3 linked regions of the Arabidopsis thaliana genome follow. The protein of the gene in region 3 interacts with the protein of the main gene of each other region in a pairwise test. Each region holds a gene or a part of one and is shown on either strand. Other genes may lie near its edges.

What was found.
Region 1: the proteins of DAZ2 (region 3) and AT1G70030 interact in a two-hybrid assay, tested with the Arabidopsis thaliana proteins (one large-scale study listed by BioGRID).
Region 2: the proteins of DAZ2 (region 3) and CRF8 interact in a two-hybrid assay, tested with the Arabidopsis thaliana proteins (one large-scale study listed by BioGRID).

The regions. Positions count from the first base shown.
Region 1 is NC_003070.9:26,376,784-26,380,542, reverse strand, and holds AT1G70030 (Paired amphipathic helix (PAH2) superfamily protein), read right to left. Parts: upstream 1,903-3,759; 5' UTR 1,711-1,902; intron 1,688-1,710; exon of another isoform or gene 1,359-1,687; coding exon of another isoform or gene 1,326-1,358; coding exon 1,195-1,325; intron 1,101-1,194; coding exon 917-1,100; coding exon of another isoform or gene 887-916; exon of another isoform or gene 879-886; intron 601-878; coding exon 505-600; intron 424-504; coding exon 352-423; 3' UTR 164-351; downstream 1-163. Other genes in the region: AT1G70020 (transmembrane protein, putative (DUF1163)), read right to left, coding at 2,390-2,669, 2,776-3,173.
Region 2 is NC_003070.9:26,820,694-26,824,192, reverse strand, and holds CRF8 (Integrase-type DNA-binding superfamily protein), read right to left. Parts: upstream 1,677-3,499; 5' UTR 1,317-1,676; coding exon 831-1,316; 3' UTR 522-830; downstream 1-521. Other genes in the region: GLIP6 (GDSL-motif lipase/hydrolase 6), read left to right, coding at 1,773-2,019, 2,119-2,258, 2,333-2,798, 2,886-3,121; AT1G71110 (uncharacterized protein), read right to left, coding at 3,341-3,499.
Region 3 is NC_003075.7:16,786,636-16,790,298, forward strand, and holds DAZ2 (C2H2-like zinc finger protein), read right to left. Parts: upstream 1,649-3,663; coding exon 794-1,648; 3' UTR 645-793; downstream 1-644. Other genes in the region: GLUR2 (glutamate receptor 2), read left to right, coding at 3,655-3,663. UniProt on the Arabidopsis thaliana protein: Mediates the regulation of male germ cell division by DUO1.

The sequences.
Region 1 (3,759 bases), on a different chromosome or scaffold from region 3:
GTTTGGTTCAAATTATCTTCTTGTACCGTGTCGGGTTTGTTGTCGTTTATTTGAGAATTTGTAATTCGCCGTTTGTTCTTTTAATTAGTGCAGCAACCTTTAACCCAAAAAAAAAGGTTTGGTACATTCTCACTAAGCATAATTATATTGTCTTAAGTAAATTGATAAATAATTTGTGTATTATCCATAATATTCAGTTTAAATAGTATAAAACAACTTGAAAAATTGAGTACTAGTTTTACCAGTTCAGCAACAAACTAATGATAATCCCCATTGAGTCAAATGGAAGCAGATAAAGTGGCTTTGAACCACAACTTGCATGGCTTCATTGTATACATAATTCATCATTCTTCATCCATAATGTGGAAGAAAGAGATGAAATTCCTCAAGCAAGTCTCGATGGCCTTGAAAAAGGATAGCCACCTACAAAATAATACATTACATTAAATCCAATACAAGAAAGATGGAAAAAGAAAAGGTAGTGAAACATATATATATATACACCTCCTGGTAGAGCTCAGCAACGCTCTTGTTTTCCTTTTTATGCGTTTTCAAAACCTCTAAAAATGAGTTGAATACATCATTGTTCTGAAATCTTGTCTACAGAAAAAATGATATTTAAGAGAAAAGTAAAAAAAAAAATTGTACAGAAAAGAGTAATATAATTTCTAGTAGGGCTGCAAAATAAACAGCAATAGAGAATACAAATGATATAAACCGAAATATTTACACCGAAACTAACCCTTAATTAAAACGATAAATCTGATATCCTAAATTTTAACACTAAAATCTAAACAAGTTTATTCATCTCTCTAAATTTAAATGACTAAACCTGTTTTTTATTTAGATTTTAGATCTTTTGGATCAAAATAATCATAATCAAACTCTAATTACTAGTATGATTTTGCCCAACTACCTTGACCTTGTTGACAAATTCATATGCTTCGTCAAAGTGAGCAAACTTCGAATTTGACGTAAGTTCGTCATCACTGAGTGTTATTTCAAACCCCGTTGGCAAGAATGTGTTGAAACCTAAGAGAAGCTCTGGTTGCCCTTTGAAGAGTTCTTTCACTTTTGATATGACGTCACATGTTTTAGCTCTACAATTAGTAAAAAAAAAAAAAAACAGTTTACCAAAACTTTATATAACTAAGAGCTGAAACTATTATGAGGGAAGAAGAAGAAAAAAAATACCTCTGACCTCTGAAATCCTTCATGATCGTAAGAAAACTATCATATATTTCACGATTATCTTGATATTTAGTTTTTACAAGATGGAGGAAATCAAGTGCATCGGTTGTAGTTAGCTTCTTATTTGCAACCATGGTTTTGAAACTGACAACTGGCAAGTGCTTCATTATCCAGAGGAAGAGAAAATAGATTAATGTTCGACTCCCAATATAAACAACTTTGAAAATCAATACAAGTCTTAAATCTCAATAAACGAATTCAAGATATATAAGTTCAAAGAAAAATAATCGAAATTATCCCAAAAATTCATACAACCAGCGCAGATCTAGCAATTAGAGTCATAGAAAACATTGCAAGGGAATTTACAGCTATCGACCAGAAGATTTGAATCTAACTTACTCCTCAGATTATGTCACACTATATTTTGATCTAAGAATTTCAGTATAGAAACAAGATAGGATCAAAGTGAAGAGGATCGATCAAAGTTCGCTAGGACACAAGTATTGATGGACACGTTACCTCACACGTAACAGGCTTACAGGAAGATACAAAAGACTTGACAATTGACACAAAGAAAGTCGTAAGGTTTTAGGTTTATAAATAACTACATGAGTCATATAAAGATACTTAATATCACGTACGTTAAACATAATCTTTTTGTTAACATAACGATTCGATTTTCTCTCCTTTATATGGATTTTTTACTCTTTTTCTTAATATACCAAATACTACTTTTATGAGTCTTATCCAATATTTATAGAAAGAAAAAAGTAGGCCTTCAGATTAAAAACAAAATTGATAAGTCCAAACCGAAGTTTGTGCAAATCGGTTCTAGTTTGGTTATTAGATACAAACCAATCGGTAGATTTGATTTCGAAATTTAATTATCGGTTCGGTACGTTAAACAGACTAACTAAATAAATTTTTTAAGTTGATGTAATGATTAACTTATGATATTGATGTAGTACCATATGTTTAAATAGAATCTTTTTAAAAAATAGTATCTTACTATGAGAGTATAATTATTAACGAAAATAATAATACATTAGAACAAAGTATATTCCATTGAAGCCAAAGGAAAAAAAAACAAAAGCGCATTGTGTTGTTTAAGTTCTTTCCTACGATATCAAAAGGCAAAAGAAGAAGATCCAACATATGCAAACTAAAACATAAAAATCATTATTGATGAAAATTTTACTTAAGTGTGAATATAGTGGCATATAGGAGCGGCGTTTTCAAACGCAGTTGCCTTCCTTTGAGAGCCAGGCTCAAACCGAACCGCAGTTTCATCACACGTATAGTTCATCTTCCTCCCAGATCTACAATCCGGAAGAAGCAACCTCGATCCGAACCGCATGTCTCTTCTTTCCTTTATATCGTCCATAATGTCTTTCACAACAACACTGTCCATATCTCCCTCAGAAGCAATTACCGATGAGGTATTAAGCAGCTGAGGCCAATTTGGTATCAGATTGTAACTGATAGAGCATAACACAAAAAAGTTCAAACAAAAATATATGAACAAACGAAATTAGTTAAAGAAAAAAAAAAAAAAAGAGTATTGAAATTTTTAAAAAGTGTAACCTGTCTAAGGATGAATTAGCAATGGTAACACCTTTGTAAAGTATGAAAGTCTGCAAATCTCCTTTGAGACACATATAGTAACCAGGAAGATCTGAAGGAAGCCTGATCACTAAATCCCATTTAACACTAAGACTAGTCTCGGTTAAATTAAGGACTGTGAAATCCATAGATGGTATTATAATATCCGGTGCATAGTTTTCTATACGTTGTTCTTTACGCCGTTTTTCACGTCGTTCTTGTGCTGATTCAGAGTAGGCATAAACGATAATTGCAGCGGTTGCGATAGCGATCAAAAAAACCAAGACACACGTGAACACATACTTTTTTTGTCGTGGTGTAAGTCTATCCCATAAAGTGGTGGATTTAGGAGCTATTATTTCTCCGTTTTCATAATCCATTGAAACCCAGAGAGAGACGGATAGAGAGATGTGTATATGCACCAGATTTATGTATCTTTTTTTTGTTAGGGTTATTAAAGAAAAGAGTTGGTATATTGTTCTTATAAGAAGATTTCGATAATTACATATCAAATTTTTTAAAAAGATTTCGATAATTACATATAAATTTTTAGATTTTGGTAAATAACTTTCTTTTCGCTAAAGATATTTTAGATTAAATCAAATAGTAATCTTAGCGTTAATTGGCTATGAATCGTCGGACAGAGAAAACTTCTCAAAGGATAGAAATAGGTTCTTTATGTTGGGCTTTAGATCGTTAATGGGCCATAAAACGTTAAGACTCGGGACTTTGGGAGTGCTCCAGCTTGTTTGGCTACGAATCAAAGAAGCAGGCTAGAACGAAAAATAAATCATATGATGATCAAACATAGTATATTAGTTTTATTATCGGCCAAGATGCTGTAATTTGAGATGTTTCTTAACAACTTTCTATTATCACCTCGCTACAATTTTACCATTCTTTACCGCACCAATTTTTTTTTTTAAATAGCCAAAACATTTATTTTTGTTTACCAATTCGTTCAAT
Region 2 (3,499 bases), on a different chromosome or scaffold from region 3:
ATTTATCTTCAGATCCTTTTTTTTTTCAATTTCATAATCGTAAGTCAAAAGAAAATATCTGTTTGCTTTTTTTCTAACGCACTTGTGTTTCCTCAAACTTATTATTTTTAAACTCATGTGCACGTACATGTAAACATTCATTTCCTCTCTTTTTCTTTTTTTTCTTGTCAAAACATTCATTTCCTCTTTAGTCACTACTATTATCGAAAACATTCATTTCCTCTTTAGTCATTACTATTATAGTATTATAGAAGATCATATATATCATGTGTATGATGAAGTCTCTTGGTTTAGCTGATCTCTTCATGTTCTTTATTACTTTCTTTATCTCCAAACCCCTCACCCATGGCCATCAGTCTTCAACAAGTCAAAGTAAATTGATAAATTCAGTATTTTTCATTAGACACCCCAAAGTATAAAAATGTATCGTTGATACGGTGATACAAGAACCAAAAGATGGAAAGATATATAAAGAATTTTCAACTTTTCATCAACCATCAAAATATAACTCTGATCCAAGTCATTAACGTTCAATTTGGTTAGAGTTCTGTTCTATTATGTGTTGATCCATAAATGGTAAAAAGATTGAATAGTATACAAATAAAAAGAGCCTATTTCAACCCAAACTTTTCTTTCCTAAACGTTTTAAAAATTCAAAAAAATTTGTACCTTAAAATTTGTGTGTAAATCAAAATATAGTTCATTTCTCGAGTTTCATATATATACATAGACGAAAGACATCAAGATCATACACAACATCAGAAGATGAATTTACAAAATACGAGAGAGACCTTCTTGCTAATGCTAACAACTAAATTACCAACCCCACTTCACGCGCCTCTAGCAACCTCAGAAGCTCCAATCACCGTCTTATCCTCTTGATTCTCCGCCGGCAAACCAAAATTGGTCGGCGCGTGAGGTCCAATCAGCTTAATTGAAGCGTTATCATAAGCTAGAGCAGCTTCCTCAGCAGTGTTAAAAGTACCCAGCCAGAGACGATCACGTCGTCCTTTACAAGCTCCTCTTCCACATCTGATCTCCGCCACCCACTTCCCCCACGGCCTCTGCCTCACTCCACGATATTTCTTCTCCGTTTTCGCCGTCTTGAGAAATTCCGCCGGGATCCTGATTTTGAACCGTGTTTTGCAGACATCGAGTTTATCGGCGGAATCGGAAGGATCGATTACGATCTCTTTAACGAGGCGTTTCCCACGGCGCCGAGTCTGGGATGCTCCTCCACGCTCCTCCGTGTCTTCGTCGCTAGAAGAATCGGTGGCTTCTGCGTCGGTGAATGAGATTCTGATAATACGCTTCATAGTGAATTTGCGGAAATTAGGGTTCCGTCTTCGTCTCCATTAAAAGGAAAGCATTTGAGAGAAAGAATATGTTTTTATTCTTTCAGAATCTCTTTTTCTGATGCTTTTCATCTTTACTTATTTACTTCTCTATTTTTTTCTAACCAATCCTATGTGGGCCGTATGGGCCTCAGAGCTGAAAATGCAGTAAAATCCATGAAATTTCTCAACATGGCTTGAAGCCCATCTTCTAAAGGAAAAAACGCTTTACTCTTTTTTCCTTCATCTATGTAATAAGAAGCAGAAATTTAGGAATAAGTTTGAAACTTTAATCACACATAAGAGTAAGTGCAAAAACATGAACAATGTTCTTGCCTTCCGTGTCAATTTTGTATATATATATATATATATATATATATATATATATGTGTGTCAGTATATAATCTCCTTTTATATGATTATAAACTCATTTGTCCCATGTCTTCTTCTTCTTCAATGGACTTACTCATGTGTCTGCTTCTTCTAATCTCTCCGGTTGTTCTGGCCAAGTCTTCTTCCACCGTCCCTGCTATCTTTACCTTCGGTGACTCTATTTTTGACGCCGGAAACAACCATTACAACAAAAACTGTACCGCTCAGGCTGATTTTCCTCCTTATGGTTCTTCCTTTTTCCACCGTCCTACTGGGAGGTTCACCAACGGAAGAACCGTCGCTGACTTCATCTGTAACAAATTACCTCCCAACTCGTTAACTAAAACATTTCTTCTTCTGCAAGGAACCTTACTTTTGTCTCTTTTTTCTTTTCTTGACGCAATAATTGCAGCGGAATTTGTAGGCCTTCCATTACAGAAACCATTCTTGGAATTGCAGATTCAAATCTTGAATGGAACTTCAAACTTTTCAAATGGCATTAACTTTGCTAGTGCTGGTAGTGGTCTCTTGCTTGATACCAACAAATTTATGGTAAATATCTACCTTGACCAAATAAAATGTTTGTTTCTTGTGAATCACTCATTAAGTACACATATCAAATGTAGGGCGTGACACCGATCCAAACCCAGCTACAGCAATTCCAGACACTTGTAGAGCAAAACCTTATCGAAAAATCTATAATCCAAGAGTCTCTCTTCTTATTAGAAACTGGTTCTAACGACATCTTCAACTACTTCCTCCCATTCCGAGCTCCTACACTTTCTCCAGACGCTTATGTGAACGCAATGTTAGACCAAGTGAACAAAACGATTGATCAGATCTACAAACTAGGCGCACGCCGCATCGCTTTCTTCTCCTTAGGTCCTGTAGGTTGTGTCCCTGCAAGAGCCATGCTTCCTAATGCCCCAACCAATAAATGCTTTGGTAAGATGAATGTTATGGCCAAGATGTATAATAAAAGACTTGAAGATATAGTGAACATAATCCCCACTAAGTACCCTGGAGCCATTGCGGTGTTTGGAGCTGTATATGGTATCACTCACAGATTTCAAACCTACCCTGCCCGTTACGGTAAACTCAATATAGTTAATTAACTTCCATCTTTGAGATCTTTTTCAAATGTGTCTATGAGAAAGCTGAATCATGTTTTTGGTGAAGGGTTTTCGGATGTTTCAAACGCGTGTTGTGGGAACGGTACACTGGGAGGATTGATGCAGTGTGGAAGAGAAGGATACAAGATTTGCAATAACCCAAATGAGTTTCTGTTTTGGGATTTTTATCATCCCACAGAACACACTTACCGTCTCATGTCAAAAGCTTTATGGAATGGAAACAAAAACCATATCAGACCATTTAATCTCATGGCTCTTGCCACCAACAAGATCACATTTTAATACTTATATCTCCCTTGTATATAGAATTCATAATGAGTTTGTATCTGAATTAAGACTCGAAATCATTGTGAAAACAAAAGCCAGAAAGTGAAACTTCGCTCCACTTCTGGTCTCTTCTTCCTCTTCTACTGTAACATGAACGCTACAAAATGTTTTTATTGTTCTCTTTCATATCATTATGAAATACAATATCTGATTCTATCTAACTATACCTCTATACTATACGCATTCTACAGAAAGCTTAGGTTCGTCATCTGAGTGATGAGTATCCAAGCCGTTACCAAAGCTATCATCTTTTCTTTGAGGGTGTGGATCCGCAAACACTTCCTCCCTTTGGGGGCGGTTCGCATAGAATATCCATAGCACCAGACATAGTAA
Region 3 (3,663 bases):
GGACAATTGATTTAATATTTGTTTAATAGATTCGAGAAGATTAATTGAAAACTGTCTCGGATTAGGGTTCGTGCATGTTGTAATTAGTTCCGCGTGTTTACCTATAATGCATCTGAATCTTTAGACTAATAATTTTCTTTAAGATTCAATCTTTATTTAAGCATTGTTTATGTTAAAGCTAGCTGGTGAAAACAAGGTTATCTTAGATATAAGTAACACTAAGATTCTCTAGCGGAATAAGATCTAATCTATATACGATAGAATGGTAAGAGTTTTAAGAAAATAATTAAAAATAGAATGGTTGGAGTCTTGGAGATCGTGGTGAGTTTGAGATCAAGTCAAACAACGAAATTTGGCAAGAATAATACTAATTAAGCTTCCGTGAAATTAAAATGTTTTCCCTTTTCTTAGTTGGCTTAAATTTTACAAAACGGCTCAATATCTGCTTATGAATTTCATGTTTTAAGAGATCAATTCTGTTCTCTAGTATTTGGTTGGATATACGTTTGAAACTTTCTTTTACATTTTGGTACAACACAAGTTTTGTTTTCTTTCTTGATTCAAGTGTTTTTTTCTTTTCTTTTCTGATCTGATTCAAAATTAATTAATATACCAGAAAATCAGTGCATTTCGAAAGCACAAAACTAAATATTTTTCTTTATTAAGCATATATATAGCAGAATATCCTACATACGTTATACTTATCATCAAATCACAACATGTACATTGACCTATTAATTAGAAGGAAACATCCAATATACCTACAGACATTATATATATATATAGATACTAATTAGAGTCCTAACCTAAGATCTAAACAACACCCTGATGTGTCCGAAGTAGAAAGATCCTGTATTGTTGGAGGAACATTCAAATCCAAAGCACCACTGATCATCGGCTCCTCCTCCTTTTCCCAATGACATCTCATGTGACCTCCTAAAGCTTGACCACTCGAGAACACTCTAAAACAGATATTACACTTATGATGCCCTGAAAACGTAAGGATTTTTCCCTGATGATCATGCCCACTAGAAGTAGAAACCGTCATAGGATCATCGGTTACGTTTGTGATAGCGAAACAGCCTTTAACGTTTTTATGACTCGCTCTGTGTCCTCCTAAAGCCTGATGTGATCCAAACACTTTCTTACATCCTCCACACTCGAACCGTTCAATACTCGATGATGATGGTGTACCATTAGACAGCATTAAGAGACAAGAAGCGACTTCATGGTCTTCCTCGGACATAAATGAGACCCAATTTGGTAATATCTGGTTTAACTGTTTTGAAGAAGCCGCGGTGGGCACACGGTAGTTAGGAGGAGGATTAATGCCACGCCATTGACGCTCAGGGTGACATCTCATGTGACCAAAGAGAGCCTTCCAAGACCAAAACTTTCTGCCACATTCAGTACATGGACGTGTGATTTTGGGGGCATTTGGGTCTGGTTTTTTGGTGTATTTTGGTTTTGACGCGGATTTTGGTGAAGAACTAGAGGATGAAGCAACGGTTTTGGTGCGTTTCTTCTTAGGACTGTGATCGTAGCTTGAAGATAAAGCAAACTGGAGATTTGGATTAGGGTTGCTTGTGTTAGAAGGATGAAGTGGAATGTGAAAACTGCGATCATCATAGGAATGATTGTTGTTCATTGTGAGCACGTAGAGGAAGTGATGGAAGAAAAGTGGGAAAAAAAAGAGTAGAAGTTAGAGAAAGGGTTGCTTAAGTAGAAGAAGAAGGAGAGGTTACGTGGGAAAGAAGTTATGGAGGAACAGGGAGACAGTTAACTTCAGTTGAGGAACAGAGCGGTTTACTATGTAAGGAAGAGACTTATCTCTTTGCAGTTTGAAACCACCACGTTTTTTATGTATCAGTTTTGCTGCTTATTATTTGTTGGCCCAAGTTTATCTTTGATGGGCCTTATAATACTAGAGTTCATTATTTCTTATGGGCCTTATAATACTAGAGTCCATTATTTCTGATAGGCCTTATAAATCTTGCGTCTATTATTAAATTCTAAGCCTATGCAAGAATATTGAAGCAACAAAATTCCAAAGCCAACAAAATTCCAAAGCCAATTGGAAGATTTGGAAAAAGTAAAGATTTTAGTGGAGTTTGAGCTTCCATTACTCAATTTCGGTGGAGGTTCCACACTTCCACAGAAATAAAATCGCCACTCTCCCATCCCATGATTCACACTATTGAAATTGGACATTTGATTACGATTTGTTTCCTAGATTATTATTTTTGTTTCTATATCCGTTAGATTTTCTTTATCGTGCGTTTTCTTATCTTCCTGAAACATTTAAATAATAACAAGAATTGTTTTTGGTATAAGTAAACTTGTCTCTCTTTTTTGGTAAGAAGGTTTAAGGTTGCCTATATAGGACAACAAAATCAGAAAATGCCATAAGCATCTGTAATTTTTATTGGTTTGGGGTAAAAAAAGGTTACAAATAAAAGAATGGTCCAACAACATACATTCATTTTTGGAGTTATGTCATATGTGGAACATGGGAAGATGTTTTAAATACCTGAACCAAATAATATTCGAAATATCCAGACTTTCTCATTGTCGCATGAAAGACCACAAAATATAATACTATTACTTTTCAAAAAAGAAAATGAAACAATAAAATAAATTTAAAACAGTCATTGGATCAAGGTATAACGGAATCCAAATACAAGTATAATATATAATTATAAAATACTGATTCAATAATCAAAAGTATAATCATACAACTCCATGACGCAAACGATTAATGGTCCCAAAGATGATTTGGTTAATTATCTCTTTTTTTGGGTTAATGATTTCACTAGCCAATAAAAGATTATAGACTACCATTATAGATTATAGTAAGGAATAATATGTTTCTCATCATCATCTTCTTTACTTTGGCTGGGAACCAAAAGGGTCACTTCGTCACTTGCAAACAAAACAAAAAGTTTTCATTTTTCACTGGAAACAAAACTTACAAGTTAAGAAGTTCACATTTTTCAATCGATAATGGCTCATTATCTATGTCGACAATTATGGTTAGTCTATCCAATTTCCTTCTCTAACTCTTTTTTTCTTAGCCTGTAAATGTGACTAGTGCATGAATTCTGATTGGAAGTAATCAAATCCCACCAAAAAGCTTACCACTTTCCTAAATCTTCAAGCAAACCCATGATTTTACTTTTGTCAGTTTACCTCCTTTTTGTTTATTGAAGACCTACTCCTTCCTTTTTTCAGGTTTTTATATGTGTACTCCTCTTGCTTGTTCCTCATGCTTTCTTTCAGCTAGATTTTTCATGTGCCTGACGAATCTGCTTTTCTTTAAAGGATGATTTTGGTTTGGGTTTGGGTTTTGGCATCTCTGCCACTCATTTCTTGACAATCCTTGTTCTCTATGTTTGAGGTAAGGGTTTAATCCTCGTGACACTTTTTCAGTTCTGGTTAAAGTCACTTTCTTTGCTTATCTTCCTTATTCTTTTTGTTTCATTAGAAGTTTCTAGCTTTCTCTTCCTATGTTACTCTTTTTAAAAAAATCCCATTTTGATTTGGTGAAGTGGCTCACAATCTCTCATTTTGTGATTCTTAAAGTTTTTGGGAATTTTATCTAATTGTTGTTTGTTTATCAAACTTGGTGTTTCAGGAACTGATTAAGCCAAAGCTATGTTTTGG